2 linked regions of the Tamandua tetradactyla genome follow. The protein of the gene in region 2 interacts with the protein of the main gene of each other region in a pairwise test. Links are inferred from orthologs where the notes say so. Each region holds a gene or a part of one and is shown on either strand. Other genes may lie near its edges.

Region 1 (7,561 bases), on a different chromosome or scaffold from region 2:
CAGAGGGGAGAATCATCGAGTTGAAATACAGGTGGGTCCTGTCGCATGGTCTGGATTAAAATCAACAGCCGGGGTGGGTGCTGGGGGGGGGTGGGCAGTGCAGTCGAAAGGGCACCGCTCTTACTCTGGCTTTTAAGGCAAAGGAGAAGCCTTGTGTCCTGCCTGGACCTCAAAAAATTTTCAGACTTGCAGACAGCTACTCACCAAGTAGGAGAGGATCGTGAAAAAGTGCCCAGCTACCGTTTATTGAATATCTGCTATGTCCAGGGGACAACCATTAGACCTACGGTTCTCAAATTGTGCAGTGAAGTGGCTCAGGGCCACAGACCATTTTAGAGGATTTTTCATGGAAACACAGCGGCATCTGTTGGACGCTTTGCAAACTGCTAGCTCAAGGTGGAACACGATTTCGTGGTTCGCTGAAGATGCACTCCTTCCAACGATGTCATAGCGGTGTGAAGCTGGGCTTCTGGCAATTGCTGTGATTAAAAAGCAAGCATTGAGTGGTGCAATGGTGGCTCAGTGGCAGAGTTCTCGCCTGCCAAGCCAAAGATCCAGGTTCGATCCCCAGAGCATGCCCATGTCAAAAGAAAAAAAAAAAGCAAGTATCCTTTATGGACAAATGAGTAAAAAATAATATTAAGGAGAAAAAAAATGAATAAATAATGGGGGAGATAAAGGGTGAAAATTGGATAGATTAAAATACTGTGGGTTAATGAGAGGGAGGGGTAAGGGGTATGGGTTGTATGAGTTCTTTTTCTTCTTTCTATTTCTTTTTCTGGAGTGATGCAAGCATTCTAAAAATGATCATGGTGAAGAATACACAGCCATGTGATGATGTGGTGAGGCAATGATTGTATAATATGATTGGACTGCATGTGTATGGATATTTCTCAATAAAAAATATATTTTTAAAAAGAGCAAGTATCTTGCAAAAATCATTGTGGAACAGGAAATGAGGGTGTAGTGTCCAATCTGATTCCAAGGTTCGAAAATCTTCGCAGAGCCCCGAAGACAGATGTATCTTGTTGGTATGTTCTATTTTTGTTTGTTTGTTTTCCTGTTGGTAGGTTCTTAAGGTTATTTAAGAATGAATTAAAAATATTTTCTTTCAATGTATATGCCTTCTTTATTGTTTTCTCAAGTGACCACTAAATTGTTAGGGCATATATATTTATTGTTTTGACCTAACCGCTTACTAAACATGACTGTTGGTTTTTTAGTGGGGGGAAGAGGGCTAGAGATGTCGCGGAAATGTTGAGACACTAAGGGTGTCTTGAACCAAGAAAGTCTGGGATCCTTTCATTATACTCTTTATAGAAACTGTCTTAACAGCAACTCTACGAGATCCATATCTTTATTTTGTGGGAGAGGGAAGCCACCCAGCTGGGCAAGGTTGCTGGTGGGTATGCACAGTGAAATTTAAGCCAGGCCCTGCAAATTCTCAGGAAGGCAAACCGCCTCCCCCCACACTGAGTTAATTCCACTTTGCCCAGTGAGGGTGGGGAGGGCGGGCTTAGGTGACTGACAGGCCTTTTTATCCATCAGAGTGACTCTTCCCCCACCCCCCCACCCCCACCAGGGGAGGCCCCAGGAGGCTCTCCCCTCCCCCCACCCCGCCATCCCTTCTCCAACCAAGTTTACTTTCAGTCGCAGTCACCAGTCCAGCTGCCTGGCCTCCAGTACAACATGAGTTCAAAAGTTGTGCCAAACATCCAGCACCCCCCCTCCTCCCTTGCTCCTTCTCGGGTCCCTGTTCTAGGTGAAAAGTCACCGACTGCCAGCAGCAAGTTCCCTCCCTGCCGAGGGGAATAAGCCAGGACCGGGAAGCCAGGAAGGGACACTGATGGAGTGTGGCTTAGGATCCAGGACAGAATTCCTGGACTTGAGAATTCAAGCAGGAGGCTGCCCAGTCCCTGAGCAGCTTGCCACCAGTCGCACAGCTGGTGTCAACCTCTGTGGCCAGCCTGGGTTTAAAACCTGGCGGGGGGGGGGGGGCGGTTTCGGAGCAAGCCGTTTCCCTTCTCTGAGCGGGTTTCCTCCCCTGCAGCATGGGGATAATTACAGCTTCATAGAGTTGTTCTGAGAATCACATGCGTGGCTAAAGCTTAGCACAGAGCTAAGTAGACATCGTCAGTGCATAATGAACCTTACCCACTCAGTCATTCATTCAGTACATTTATTGAGCACCTACTATGCACTATTCCAGACGCTGGGGATACAGCAGTGAATTAGACAGACAAAAGCCCTGCTCTCACGGGGCTCACAGGCTGGCAGAGAGGGGTCCATAAATAATCAACATCATATGTGAGTCAATCAGACAGCGGGCCCGTCCAACAGAAATATAATGCAAGTCACATTTATGCCATTTTAAATGCTCCAGTAGCACCGTTAAAAAAGTTAAGAGAAACAGGTGAAAATACGTATTTTTTTTAATTTAAAAAGTTTTTAGGTTAAACCTTTTAAATGTTTTCTTATTTTTAAATTTAATTTTAAAAAACCTAACATAATATATCTCAAATGGCATCATCTTAAGGGCCGTAAGCCACAGTGCACGTCCTCATTAGCTACACCCAGTGTGAAGTATCTTGGACAATGATGAGAACTGTGCAAAAATGAAGAAGTAAAGCGAGTAAGGGGCTGGAGCGCAGGCTCTGTGGGGGTGGGGTGGGGTGGCGAACAGACAGAGAAGGTGGATTTGCTCTGACTTGGGGGCAGAGCTTCGGATTTTACCCATCGTTGGCCAGGCCCCTTTCCTCTGCTGGCCTGGCCCACATGGCAGGTGCCCAGGCTGATGGCTCCTTCTCTTCCTTCTTGGCCAAACCTGACCCTGACTCTGCAAACTCCCGCAAGATACTCAAGGGCTCTCTGGAAATGCCCCAGCTTGGGGAGGGGGGGTGGGGATGGCCCCTCAGCACCACCCAGCCTCCTCGGGGAAAGAGTGTGCCTCCCTCCCGGGAGACGTCGAATGCTGTGAAAGCTGTGGCTAAACAAGGGAAGGGGTGCGTGGCGGGGAGGCTCTCACCCAGGGCTGGGCTCAGGGAGAGCCGAGGGAGGCAGGCCGTGGAAGTGCAGGGCTGGACCCTGGCCTAATTTAATTTCTTGACATTTGTTCATCATGGACTTTTCTGCATTCAGGTAAAAAATATGTTTTATTGATGTATCTATCATTCATGCCCCGTAAAATTCATCCTTCGGAAGTGTATAGTTCAGTGGTTTTAGAGGATTGAAGGTTGCACAACCATCACCACAATCAATCTGAGAACATTCCCATCATCCTAAAAGAAAGCCCGTTAACAGCTGCTCCATCTAAGCCCCTTCTCCCCATCCTCCCCCCAAAGCTCCCTGGCAGTCACTATTCTACTTTCCATCTTTTTAGATTTGCCTCTTCTGGACATTTCATATAAAATGAAATCATAAACAGTGTGGCCTTCAGGGACTGGCTTCCTCCACTTAGCGTAATGTTTCTAGGTTCGTCCATACTGTAGCACGGACCGGTACTTTATTCGTTTTATAATTTCCCCATTCATCAGGTAATGGACATCTGAGTTGCTTCCTCCTATTAGGAATAATTCTGCTCTGAATTTTATATACAAGTTCTTGTGTGGACAAGTTCTTCATTCTCTTGGACTTTGCATTCCTTTTAAGTTTTTAAGACATTGCATCACAGTATTAATGTGGGGTACTGAATTTTTTGGTGCCCCCTTAAATTTTGTGCCTCTGTCTCCTTACAGAGTCCCGGCCCTGCAAGCCTCTTCCCTCGGAGGCTGTGTGACTTTGGGCAAATCGCTTCACGTCTCGGAGCCTCAGTTTCCTTCTCTCTAAAACGGGGGTAATCCCTACAGCTTCCCACAGTGTCAGGTAGAAACAATGAAGCAATCGGGCACCCCTCAGACCCAGCAGCCTTCCTCAAACACAGTAGACTGAAGTCAACACGTTTTCCCTATGGGGAGGTCTGGTTGTTGAGCCTGGGGGTGGTGGTGGGGGGAAGGGTGATCCCCCAAAATGAATGCGACTTACCCTGCCCTTGAGGGGAGCTGGCTCAGCTGCCCAGAACGCCTTTGCTGCTTTTTTCCCCCAAAAGGGGACGCGTGTTTATTATTATTATTTTTGCTCTCCTGCCTCAGTCTGACCCCCTGCAAGGTCCTAGGAGTGGGACCCAGCGCTGCTCACCCCAAGGCCTCCCTGGCTGCCAGTGCCCACGCATCCGGGGCGCCCTGGGGCCCTCCACCCTCTCCTCCCCCACCCCGCACTCCCGGGCTAGGCCGGGGCTCCCCGTCCGCCATGAGGCCTGCACTCCGCGCGCCGCAGGGCTGAAGTCCAAAGTTCAGGCCCTTCGCTAAGCACACGGATAAATATGAACCTTGGAGAATTTCCCCAGCTCCAATGTAAACAGAGCGGGCAGGGGCCCTGATTCACCGGCCGCCGGGGCCAGGGTTGGGGGTTGGGGGTGCCCACGGGGCTTGGCTCGCGGGCTTCTGGGGGTGCAGGGCGCCCGGTCTGCGCCCACCGGCCGGCGGGCGGGCGGCCGGCCCACACGTGACAGCGGAGCCATGGTGTCCACGCTGAGCCCGCTGCAGACCGAGCTCCTGGCCGCTCTGCTCGAGTCGGGCCTGAGCAAAGAGGCGCTGATCCAGGCGCTGGGGGAGCCGGGGCCCTACCTGCTGGCCGGAGGAGACGGCCCCCTGGACAAGGCGGAGGCCGGCAGCGGTGGCCGCGGGGAGCTGGCCGAGCTCCCCAATGGGCTGGGGGAGACGAGGGGCTCCGAGGACGAGACGGACGACGACGGGGAAGACTTCACGCCGCCCATCCTCAAGGAGCTGGAGAACCTCAGCCCCGAGGAGGCGGCCCACCAGAAGGCCGTGGTGGAGACCCTTCTGCAGTAAGGACCCCTCCCCTGCCCCCAGGTCCCAAGACGGAGCCCAGAGGGGCCCAGCCCCAGCTCTTGAGCAGCTGCTCTTCAGAGTTCCAGGTCCCTATGAGCTGCGGCCCTGAGCCTAGGTGTCAGGAAGGGGGACGGGGCCCACAGGGGCTCAGAGGGGTCCTTGCCTGGGGGAAGGAGACCCAGTCCCCGGGCAGCCCCTCTGCAGAGTCCTGTGCCTCCTTGAACCTGAGCCTTCAGCCCAGCACCTGGGAGGTGGAGACATGCTCCAGGGGAGCTCGGAAAAGGCGGAAATATCAGCAGAGCCCACAACCCCAATGCCTAGAGAGCCACAGGGTGGTAGAAATTTCTAGCCAGCATGGCCATTTCAATCCCCCAAACTCTAACTTCCCCGCCAAGGCCTCCAGGTATAGACTCAGGGCCCAAGAAGCGTGGCAGGGGAGAAGGGCTGAGGCTGGGGTTTGAGGGGCTTCCCTGGCCACCCTGGGACTCAAGACTTTCAGGCAGGGGAAGCCCAGGTCTGTCTTACCTGGGGAAGATGGAAACTTGGGTCAGGAGCTGCTCCCTTTCCTGCTCAGCCACAGGCCCCCCCACCCTGCCAGCAGGCGCCATTAGCAGCCTCCCGGTCCCGTACCCCTGTCCGCTGGCTGACTCCCCATCTCCTGGAGAACTGGGTGGGTCCTGTGCTCAATGCCTCCCCTCTCCTCAGCAGAGCTGACCTGGTTACTAATTACCCACGGGCTTTGTTATTTCTCTTTTGTTTTATAAATTTATAAATGGCAAAAGGCTCTGATAAGGCCTGTGATCATTAACTTGTAGGGACGGTGGCCTGCAGAAGCCTGAGCAAACCAAACCCCCACCTCCCAGAGGGGGTGGGGACGGGGGAGCGTGGGGTGGGGAGGCTCCATGACCTCCACCCTAACCCCCACCAGCATGCTGAGGGGTACGACCCCCCAGGTACTGTGCTGAGGCCTCCCATTCATAATCAACGTTGAGATCCCCCCCCCACCCAAGGAACTGTTATCCATTAGTATTAACCATCTAATAGTTGGTTATCTATTGATAATGCTGCGTCACAGATGGGTAAACTGAGGCTCAGCGAGTTGCTTGATTAAGGACGCCCAGGTGGGACTCCAAACCCCATACTCTCCGGTGCCCCGGATCTCTCTGACTAGGGGCCTGCGGTGCCTTGGGGGGGTCTGAGGGCCGGTCCCAAAGACTCTCTGCAAGGAAGCGTTTCTTTTCTGTCCAAGGTCCTGATCCTGGCTTGGGGTGGGGGAGGGCTGGTGGATCCTGGCCTTCCCGGTGACCTCACGTAAACCTCTGGGTCTGCCAGGACTCCCGAGGGCCCGGGAAGGGGACAGGAGAGCGGTCGGGGGGCCCCCGACTTGGCAGGAAGACGAGGGCAAAGGGCGCTCGCGCGGCAGGGAGGAGCACAGGCACAGGCCAGGCCAGGGCGAGGACAACCTGGGCAGGGTGGGGCTGGCCCAGACCCGCCGAGGGCCCCGGATGGGCGCGGGGGCAGGGGGTGCCAGGGGCCTTTCTTACCTGGCTAGGTGGGGCCTCTTGATCAGCAGCCCCTTTGGTGAGATGCCGGGGTGGGGGGGGAGGCTTGATCCACAGCTCTTGAGGAAGGAACAGAGGTCAAAGTGCTCCCTGGGGGCCAGTGGGGACCCGGGGCATTCCAGGAAGCCGAGGGAGACAGGGGAGGCGGGGAGGCCGAGAGAGGGCCCCGGGGAGACAGACAGAGAGGCCTGCAGAGGTAGCGCAGAGCCCAGGCCAAGGAGGGTGGAGGGACCCCAGGCCCGCTGGGGAGAGACTGCGGCACCCCAAGCTGAGAGGAGGCTAGAGTGCTTCCCCCGCCCACCCCGACTGGGTTTTCTTTAATGCTAACAGCAGGCTATTTACTTTCCATTTAAATTTGAGATGTTGCTATAAATTATCAACCAGCTCCTTGTTCCTGTGGAGTTTATAACTAACTACCTGGGTTACTTATTGTTCAGGTAACAAAAGGCAGCTGAAAACGCCCTGAGGGAAAAAAAGTGGGCCCTCTGGCCTCAGGGCAGGGGAAGAAGCCAGAGAGAAAGGTGGGGAACCTCGATGGACGCCGGGGTGTTGGGTGAGGTTGAAGCTGGACAAAGATGGTGCGGCGCAGGACTTTGAGTGGAAGCTGATTCTCTGGAGGGGACAAATGTCTGGGAGAAGGCAGGGGTGGGTGCCGGGTCCCAGAACTCCTTTGGGGTGCCCTGTGCCTAAGGTCACAGCAAGACCCTGAGTGCTTCCCTTAGTCTCCACTCTTAGTTCACTGCATGACCTTGAGCATGTCTCTTTCCCGCCTTCTGCCTCAGTTTCCCCACCTGGACAACAAATGAAATCCAAACTCCGTGCCTTGGTCCCCGCGCCAGCCTCCCTGGCCTCTTCCCTGACCTCTCTCTCCCTTAGTCATTTTGCTCCAGTCACATTGACATTGCTGTCCCTTGACATACCAAGCCGATGCCTGCCTCAGGGCCTTGGCACGTGCTGTCCCTCCTGCGTGGAGCCTACTTTCTGGATCTTACCATGGCAGATTCATTCTCCTTTCAGCTCAAATGTCCCCTCCTCAGAGAGGTGCCCCTTGACCATCCCATCCAAAGGTGGGCCCTACCCCTGTGACTCTCTCTCCTATTACCCTCATTTACT
Region 2 (7,578 bases):
TAATTTTCCCATTGGCATAGTCCCTAGATTAGTGTAGTATCTGAGCATCTAAGGTAAAGAACAAGTTCTGACTTTGTTAGAAAAATGTCCCACCCTGGCCCCATACCCTATTGAAGTCTTTGAAATTGAACTGCTTGAAGATGGCATCGCGGCCTTCCAGCTCATTCCATCCCACAGCCCTCAGGTTTGGCAGCAGTTGGTCTCTCTCCTCAGCACTTAGCCTGTGTGCTTTGCCGGCCTAAGAGGAAAAATATACAGGTCCAAGGGCATTTCCTTTTACAGATCCAAAAACAGTTGCTCAGAGCTTTGGGGGGAATCTGGCCAGCCTCCACTGGTGCTTGGATGCTGGATGACACTGTCAAAGGGCAGCAGACTAGCCCTGTTCAGGAGGTGGAGTCCTAGCTCATTCACTTATAGGTTCTTAAGTCTTGGGTTTTACACATCCCTCAGAGAAAGAAAATCCCTAAGGGTAATACAAATCACCACAAAGCCATTTGGCTGAGAAACACCCCTTCCCACCCCCCAGAAGTCTTTCAGAGGACCCCTTCCTCCTCCCAAACTAAGGTCTATTACATTAATGAGGAATAAAAGTGAAATCAGGTCCAGATTTAAATGTATTGCAACACAGCCTTTCAGGAAAACTACCCCCAACTCTCCAATCTTCTTTTTCCTGCCCTTACTCACCTTAAGGTATATTGAAAGGAAACTGAGGCCTAGAAAGGGCAAGTAGGGAAATAACTTGTCCATTGTCCCCCAACCCACTCAGTGACACTGTTCCCAAAATGTGGTCTGTGTACCACCTGTGACAAATACAGATTCTAGGTCCTGTCCCAGACCTACTGAATCAGCATCCCTGGGAGCCTGGTGAAGGAATCAGCACTAGGCTTTCCGTCCTCTGCTCTGGCAACTCCGGAAGGCCAAGGGCGATCTACAAACCCTACCCCTGTCCTATTTACCTATTATGCAAAGTGGACCCAAGGCAGCCCATACTGGCACAACCTCACAATGAGGTGAACCTTCTGAGAATACCAGGGAGCAAAGGTTAGCTCTGTCCTCTAGGACGATCTAGTCCAGGAGCCCAAGGGATCCTAGAATTTAGAGTCCTGCAACAGAACCACCCAAGACAGAAACAGATAAGATACAAAACAAAATGAAGCAACTAGGCCTGGTGAGAGAATGTGATCATGTTACTTTAACATCTGTGAGGCTGCTTGAAGCAGAAATCCTGGGTTGAACTGGCAGGACTGATCCCAGTTCTGCCAGTCCCAGCCATGTGCCTGTGTACCACATCACCTCTTGTCCCACATCACCTCTTTTGGCTTCATAGGTAAAAGGGACAATAATCTCTCCCAGTGGGCCAGCTGAGGGACCAGAGGGACAAGTTAGTAAATTACACTGTTATTAGGTGAGCAGTCATCTGCATTTTAAAAAAGACTTCCTGGGGCCAATGGGCTTGGGATGGGCCCTGTATGTCTGGGGTAGAACTGGAGGCACACTGTAATGCTCTGGTAAGTCCTCTCTCCTGAAAATAGGTGTTCTCTCGGATAGGTTCTTCTGTTCTGGTTTGGTGCCTCGTCTTTCCCTCCACTACACTCTGGATAAATACAGAGATGGCAGAGTTTACCGACATCATCTGTCCAAGCTCTTCTCTATTTCAGAACTTGCCCTTTTTCTGTGGCTGATGAGGCTGGTCTGTGTATCCAAGCAACCAGACCCCTGAAGTCAGCTGAGCCATTAGAATCCATTGTTTACTCCTTTGGCTCTGAAAGTGGTGGGTGGGTACTGGTGAGCTCCTGGGGAACCCCCTTCTTCTTTAGAGTCTTCTGGAATCCCCCAAGTCCCACATTCTGGAGCTAAAATGACCTACCCCGCTGGGATCTCAGGATTAGTGAGGGGGGAGGGTCATGTGCGTTTGGCAGATCACAGTTCAGGCCTCTTGCCTCTGGGGCAGTGTGCAGAGGGGGGTATTGATTACCCACTGTCTGCCTTGGTGCACCTCACAATCAGCACTGCTCAGCCCCAGTGGCCATAGCTTCAAGATGCCACCCCAGTTGCCACGGCAGTTCTGACTGCTTCCAATGCCTTTGGATCAGAAATGGGCTGTTTTTAGGAAAGCTTCCAGGGCCTAGACCCTCCCTGCTGTCCCCACGGGCGCACCCTCACCTCCCTAGCTGGGTTGGGGAGGGTGAGTGCAGCACAGGTGAGCAAGGCTGCCTGGAGTAGGGATGTGATCACGCCCCCACTGCTGGGCAGACTTCAAATTAGGCTCCAGGGGCTGGCTCCAAGACCCAGGGACAGTAGAGGGGTGCATGGAGGGCAGCCTTCCAGTCAGACACTGCAGTGGGCGTGAGGGCAGAAGTGCAAGACAGGAGAGGAGGGGACACGCACGCAAATGAACAGACAAATTCACAGTTTCTGCCCTCCACGTTCAGAACTACAGAACAGAACCCGTGCCTCTCAGGGGTACGGTATCTGCTGGCTCACTGGGACGCCCCTCCCCACCCCGTCCCGTCCCCAGGTCCCACGGCCCCATCCACCCAGGCAGGTCCTACACACCACCCCAGCACTGTGATGCGGAGGGAGCAGTTTCCCGGGTGTGGCGCCTCGCTGCACCGCCCCTCTCTGGGCCTCAGTTTCCCCCGCGCACTTCCGTAAGGTGGGAGCCGGGCGTGAACTCAAGGCTCCCATTCTTAGGCCAGGAGACGCCAACTCGGAGCCCGGCGCGCGGCAGGTCCGTAGGGGGTTTCCGGGGGCCCCTCCTACTTGAGCCTTGAAGGCTGGAGGGTCGAGAACGGACAGAGGGCGGCCTGGGCCGGAACCTGCGCTGGGCTCCTAGCTCCCGCCCGCGCCCCGCTGGGGCAGCCCACCCTCGAGCGATTCCCGCACCCCGCAGCCCCGATCGCGGCCCCCGCCTGGTCCCCCCCACCCCGCCGCTCACCATGTCCAAGCGCGGGGCGGACGCAAGCGAGCAGTAGATCGGGTGCACCGGAAAGCGCCGCAGGCCTCGCAGTGGGCAAGGCGCCGGGCGGAGCCGCGGAAGGGCCGCCCCCAGGGCAGGGAGGAGCTTGGAGCCGGGAGCGGTCACCTAGCCCGGGAAAGGTCCGCGGGTCTGAGCGGAGCCGGCGCGCCAGGGAGGAGCCTCGAGCCGGGAGGAGCCCTGAGCCGGGAGGAGCCCCGAGCCGCGGACTAGGCGGCTCTTCAGCCTCGGCCTTGCTGGCCCGGGTAATGATTAACAGTTGCGACGGACGCTCAAGAGTCAAGAGGGATCCCTCCGCCACTGTGGTCCTTTCCAGCACTTTCCTCTCACAGCTGTACTTGGTGCCTTTGTTACAGGGAGCCGTGGGGTTCAGTATGCGGGCTCCGAATGCAGAGTTCTGGGTTTGAATGGTGCATTGTGATTTACCAGCTGTGTGATCCTGAGCGCAAGATTCCCAAGCTTTTTCTTTCTTTCTTCTTTTTTTCTCCAAGCTTTTTCTTTTAAGAAAACACTTTATTGGGGCATTATGTTTTTTATTTTTTTAAATTTATTTATTAATTAAAAAAATTAACAAATGAAATAAAAATTAACATAGAAAATCAGTAATTCACAATATCATCACTTAGTTGCATATTCATCATTTCTTAGAACATTTGCATCAATTCAGAAAAAGAAATAAAAAGACAACAGAAAAAGAAATAAAGCGAAAACAGAAAAAAAAAGATTATACCTACCATACCCCTTACCCCTCGCTTTCACTGATCACTAGCATTTCAAACTAAATTTATTTTAACATTTGTTCCCCCTATTATTTATTTTTATTCCATATATTCTACTCTTCTGTTGACAAGGTAGATAAAAGGAGCATCAGACAAGGTTTTCACAATCACACAGTCACATTGTGAAAGGTATATTATTATTCAATCATCTTCAAGAAACATGGCTACTGGGGGCATTATTTTTTAATGCAACTTTATTGAGATATATTTGCACACCATACAACCCATCCAAAATATACAATCAGTGGTTCACAGAATCATCACATAGTTCTACGTTTGTCACCACAGTTGGTTTTAGAACATTTCATTACATTTTTTTTCATTACAAAAAGCAAAACCAGAAACACCCATGCCACCTCTTCCCCCCATTATTCCCCCCCTTGTAATTCCTTAGGATTGGTGTGCTACAATTTTATTGTTGATGAAAGAACATTAAAATATTACTATCAATAGTCCATAGTTTTCAATAGGCACATTTTCCCCACATACCATTCTATTAACTCCTTGTAACAGTGACATACATTTATTTGTTCTAGTTCATGAGAGAACTTAATACTTGCACTGTTGCTCACAATCATTGTCCACCATGAGATTCATTGCATTATACAGTCCCATATCTTTACCTCTAGCTTTCCTTCTAGTGACGTACACAAATGTAAACTTCTCTTTCCAACCATCATCACACACATGATTCAGTGCTGTTAATTACACTCACATTTATCCATTTCCAAATATTTAAATTGAACCTAGTTAAAAATTCTGCACACGATAAACATGCGCTTCCTGTTCTCTACCCTCATTCTGTCTCCTGGTAACCTATAGTCTAGATTTTATGACTGAGTTTACATATTATTATTAGCTCATATTAGTGAGATCATACAATATTTTTCCTTTTGTGTCTGACTTATTTCACTCAACATAATGTTCTCAAGGACCATCCAGGTTGTGGGCTTCAGGACTTCATTCCTTCTTACTGCTGAGTAATATTCCATTGTACATATATACACATTTTATCTGTTCGTCGGTTGATGGACACTTGGGTTCTTTCCATCTTTTGGCTATTGTGAATAATGCTGCGATGAACCTCAGTGTGCAAATGTCTGTTTATGTCTCTGCTTTCAGTTCTTCCAGGTATATATCTACCAGCAGGATTTCTAGTTGTAGGCAGGTCTGTACTTATCTCACTGAAGAACCGCCAAACCATCTTTTTACATTTCCGCCAGCAGTGAATTCAGTGTTCCTATTTTTCCACATCCTCTCCGACACTTGTACTTTCCTGTTTGTTTTATGCTTGTTTAATAGTTCACATTCTAGTAAGTGTGAAATGATATTCCATTATGGTTTTGACTTGCGTTTCTCTAGTAGCTAGTGAAGCTGAGCATTTTTTATGTGCTTTTTAGCCATTTGTATTTCCTCTTCGGAGCAATGTCTATTCATATCTTTTGCCCATTTTTTATAAGGTTTTTTGTCTTTTTTATTGTTAAGTTGTAGTATTTCTTTATATATCCTGGATATCGAATCTTATCAGAAATGTGGTTTCCAAATATTTTTTCCCATTGAGTTGGCTGCCTTTTCACACTTATGACAAAGTCCTTTGAAGCACAGGCATATTCAGTTTTGAGGAGGTCCCATTTACTTATTGTTTCCTTCGTTGCTTGTGCTTTGGGCATGAAGTCTAAGAAACCACCCCCTATGCCTAGATCTTGAAGATGTTTCCCTACATTTTTTTCTATAAGGTTTATGGTAGTGGGGTCCTCTTTCGTTCTGTTGGATATAGATATTTATGGGGGTATTTTTGACATGCAATAACCTGCACATATTTTAAGTGTGCAATTTGATGTTTGCTATTATATATGCTTCCATGAAACCAGGTCAAGATTCTGACTGTATCCATCAGCCTTGAGAGTTTCCTTGTGTCCTTGTGTGATTCCTCCCTCCCCGCAGCCCACCCCCAGTCAACCGCTGATCTTTCCACCATTACCACCTGCATTTTCTAGAATTTTGAGTACACAGAATTATACAATATGCACTCTTCTGTGTCTGGTTTTCACTCAACATAATTATTTTGAAACTCAGCCTGTTGGAGCATAGTTGCTTCCTTTTTATTGATACAATTCATTGTATTTATTTTATAGTGTCCCACTATTTATCGTTTATTGTTATGCCACAGTTTGTTCATTCACCTGTTGTTGGACATCTGGGTTGCTTCCAGTCTGGGGCTTGTGCTGGTTTGAAACTATTTTGTTGCCCAGAAAAGCACATGTTCTTCTAATCTTGTGGGGACAGACCTGTTATTTGGGTAGGAACTTTTGATTAGGTTGTTTCCATGGAGATGTGGCCCACCCATTCAAAGTGGGTCTTAATCCTTCCCTGGAGCTCTTTATGAGGGAGAACTCAGAGCTGCAGGGAGCAGAGAGATGAAACCAAGACACAGATGCTTGGAGATGCTGGGAGCTATTTGAAAGCCAGGCTAATAAGTATAAAATGGTAGTTCACTGTTGTTTTACTCGCATTTTTTTCTGATTACTCATGATATTGACCATCTCTTTGTATGCTTGTTAGCATTTGGGATTTACAATTGGTAAACTGCTTTTTAATATCCTTTCCATCTTTTTCTGGTTGACTTGTGGAAGTTTGTATCTAGATAATAATTGCTTGTCGATTAGATCTTGCAAATATCTCCTCCCATTCTTCGCATCTGTACACTACCTTCTTCCACAATTACTTTTGTTTGGTGGCATCTTTTAATTTAAAGTAATAAGATTCACCTGTTTTTCCCCCATGCCTTATGAATTTTTGCTTTTGAAACTTTAGTTGATATGCCTTCTTCACTCTGTCACAAAAATATTCTTTTTCTTCTGTTACCTTTATAGTTAGATATATTTAAGACCTAAATGAGAAGAGTCTCCTTTTGGGTATGTTGTTAGGCAGTGTGTTAGCAGCCTCCAAAGCTGGCTCCCCCGGGACACTGACCCCCAATTGATGTCCTTGTATAGTTCTCTCCACAATGAATCAGGGCGGGACCTGTATTGACTTGAATGTGGCAGAAGTGTCACGTGTGACTTCTGAGGTTGGTCAGAAGGAGTCCACAGCTTCTGCTTTGGTCTCCTGGAACTCTCACTTTGGGGTGAGAAGCCCAGCGACAGGGAGAGGCCACCATCTGCTGTGCTCTGGTCCACAGGCTCTAGGAGCTTCAGCTGACAGCCAGAACCACTGCAGTCCCAGCACCTCTGTCTACCTGCAGTCACACCTGAGACCTCAGGAGAGAACCACCAGCAGAGAGAGCCAGCCCCCAGAAGTGTGAGAAACAACAATATGCATTTTCCTCAAGCTATCAAGTTTTACAGAAATGAGTACCTGAAAGTGGTGTTGCCATAAGACAGACCTACAATGGGCAGTGGGTGGAAGGTGGTAGGAAGGCTTAAAAGATGGTGTGGAGGTGTTCCACTTCCACTTAGGAGGTAGAAAGCTAGACAGAGTGTTGCTCCCACTGTAACGGTGAGAACAGCCGGAAACAGTACAGATCATGTCTCTGGGCCATCAGGCAGCTGACCTCACATAGGGCAGTCAGGGCAATACTGCTGCCCGGGGTGTGCGCGGGGCTCAGACGGCCTCAGCAGCAGGGCTAGGGAGAGAACAGCTAAAACTTGAAGGCTCTGCGGCTGCAGATCTGGAATAGCGGCACCCAGATCTCAGGAGCGTCTGTGCGCACCAACAGGCTTTTGTCCGTGGGCCTCGGGTGGGTGCTCGTGAGAATGGCTGGGGGAAGGGGAAGAGATGCGACACAGGCCCCGGGCGGTGCCGGTGGGCGGGAGAGGGTTG

Evidence for each region. The genes of interacting proteins can lie anywhere in the genome.
Region 1: the proteins of PCBD1 (region 2) and HNF1A interact in binary tests that used the Homo sapiens proteins (3 or more experiments, as listed by UniProt). The link is inferred for Tamandua tetradactyla from reciprocal best matches to the Homo sapiens genes PCBD1 and HNF1A.

What each region holds. Positions count from the first base shown.
Region 1 is NC_135331.1:21,255,686-21,263,246, forward strand, and holds the start of HNF1A (hepatocyte nuclear factor 1-alpha), read left to right. Parts: upstream 1-4,553; coding exon 4,554-4,882; intron 4,883-6,430; exon of another isoform or gene 6,431-6,785; intron 6,786-7,561. UniProt on the Homo sapiens protein: Transcriptional activator that regulates the tissue specific expression of multiple genes, especially in pancreatic islet cells and in liver. Binds to the inverted palindrome 5'-GTTAATNATTAAC-3'.
Region 2 is NC_135339.1:26,219,098-26,226,675, reverse strand, and holds the start of PCBD1 (pterin-4-alpha-carbinolamine dehydratase), read right to left. Parts: upstream 3,066-7,578; 5' UTR 2,942-3,065; coding exon 2,939-2,941; intron 239-2,938; coding exon 107-238; intron 1-106. UniProt on the Homo sapiens protein: Involved in tetrahydrobiopterin biosynthesis. Seems to both prevent the formation of 7-pterins and accelerate the formation of quinonoid-BH2. Coactivator for HNF1A-dependent transcription.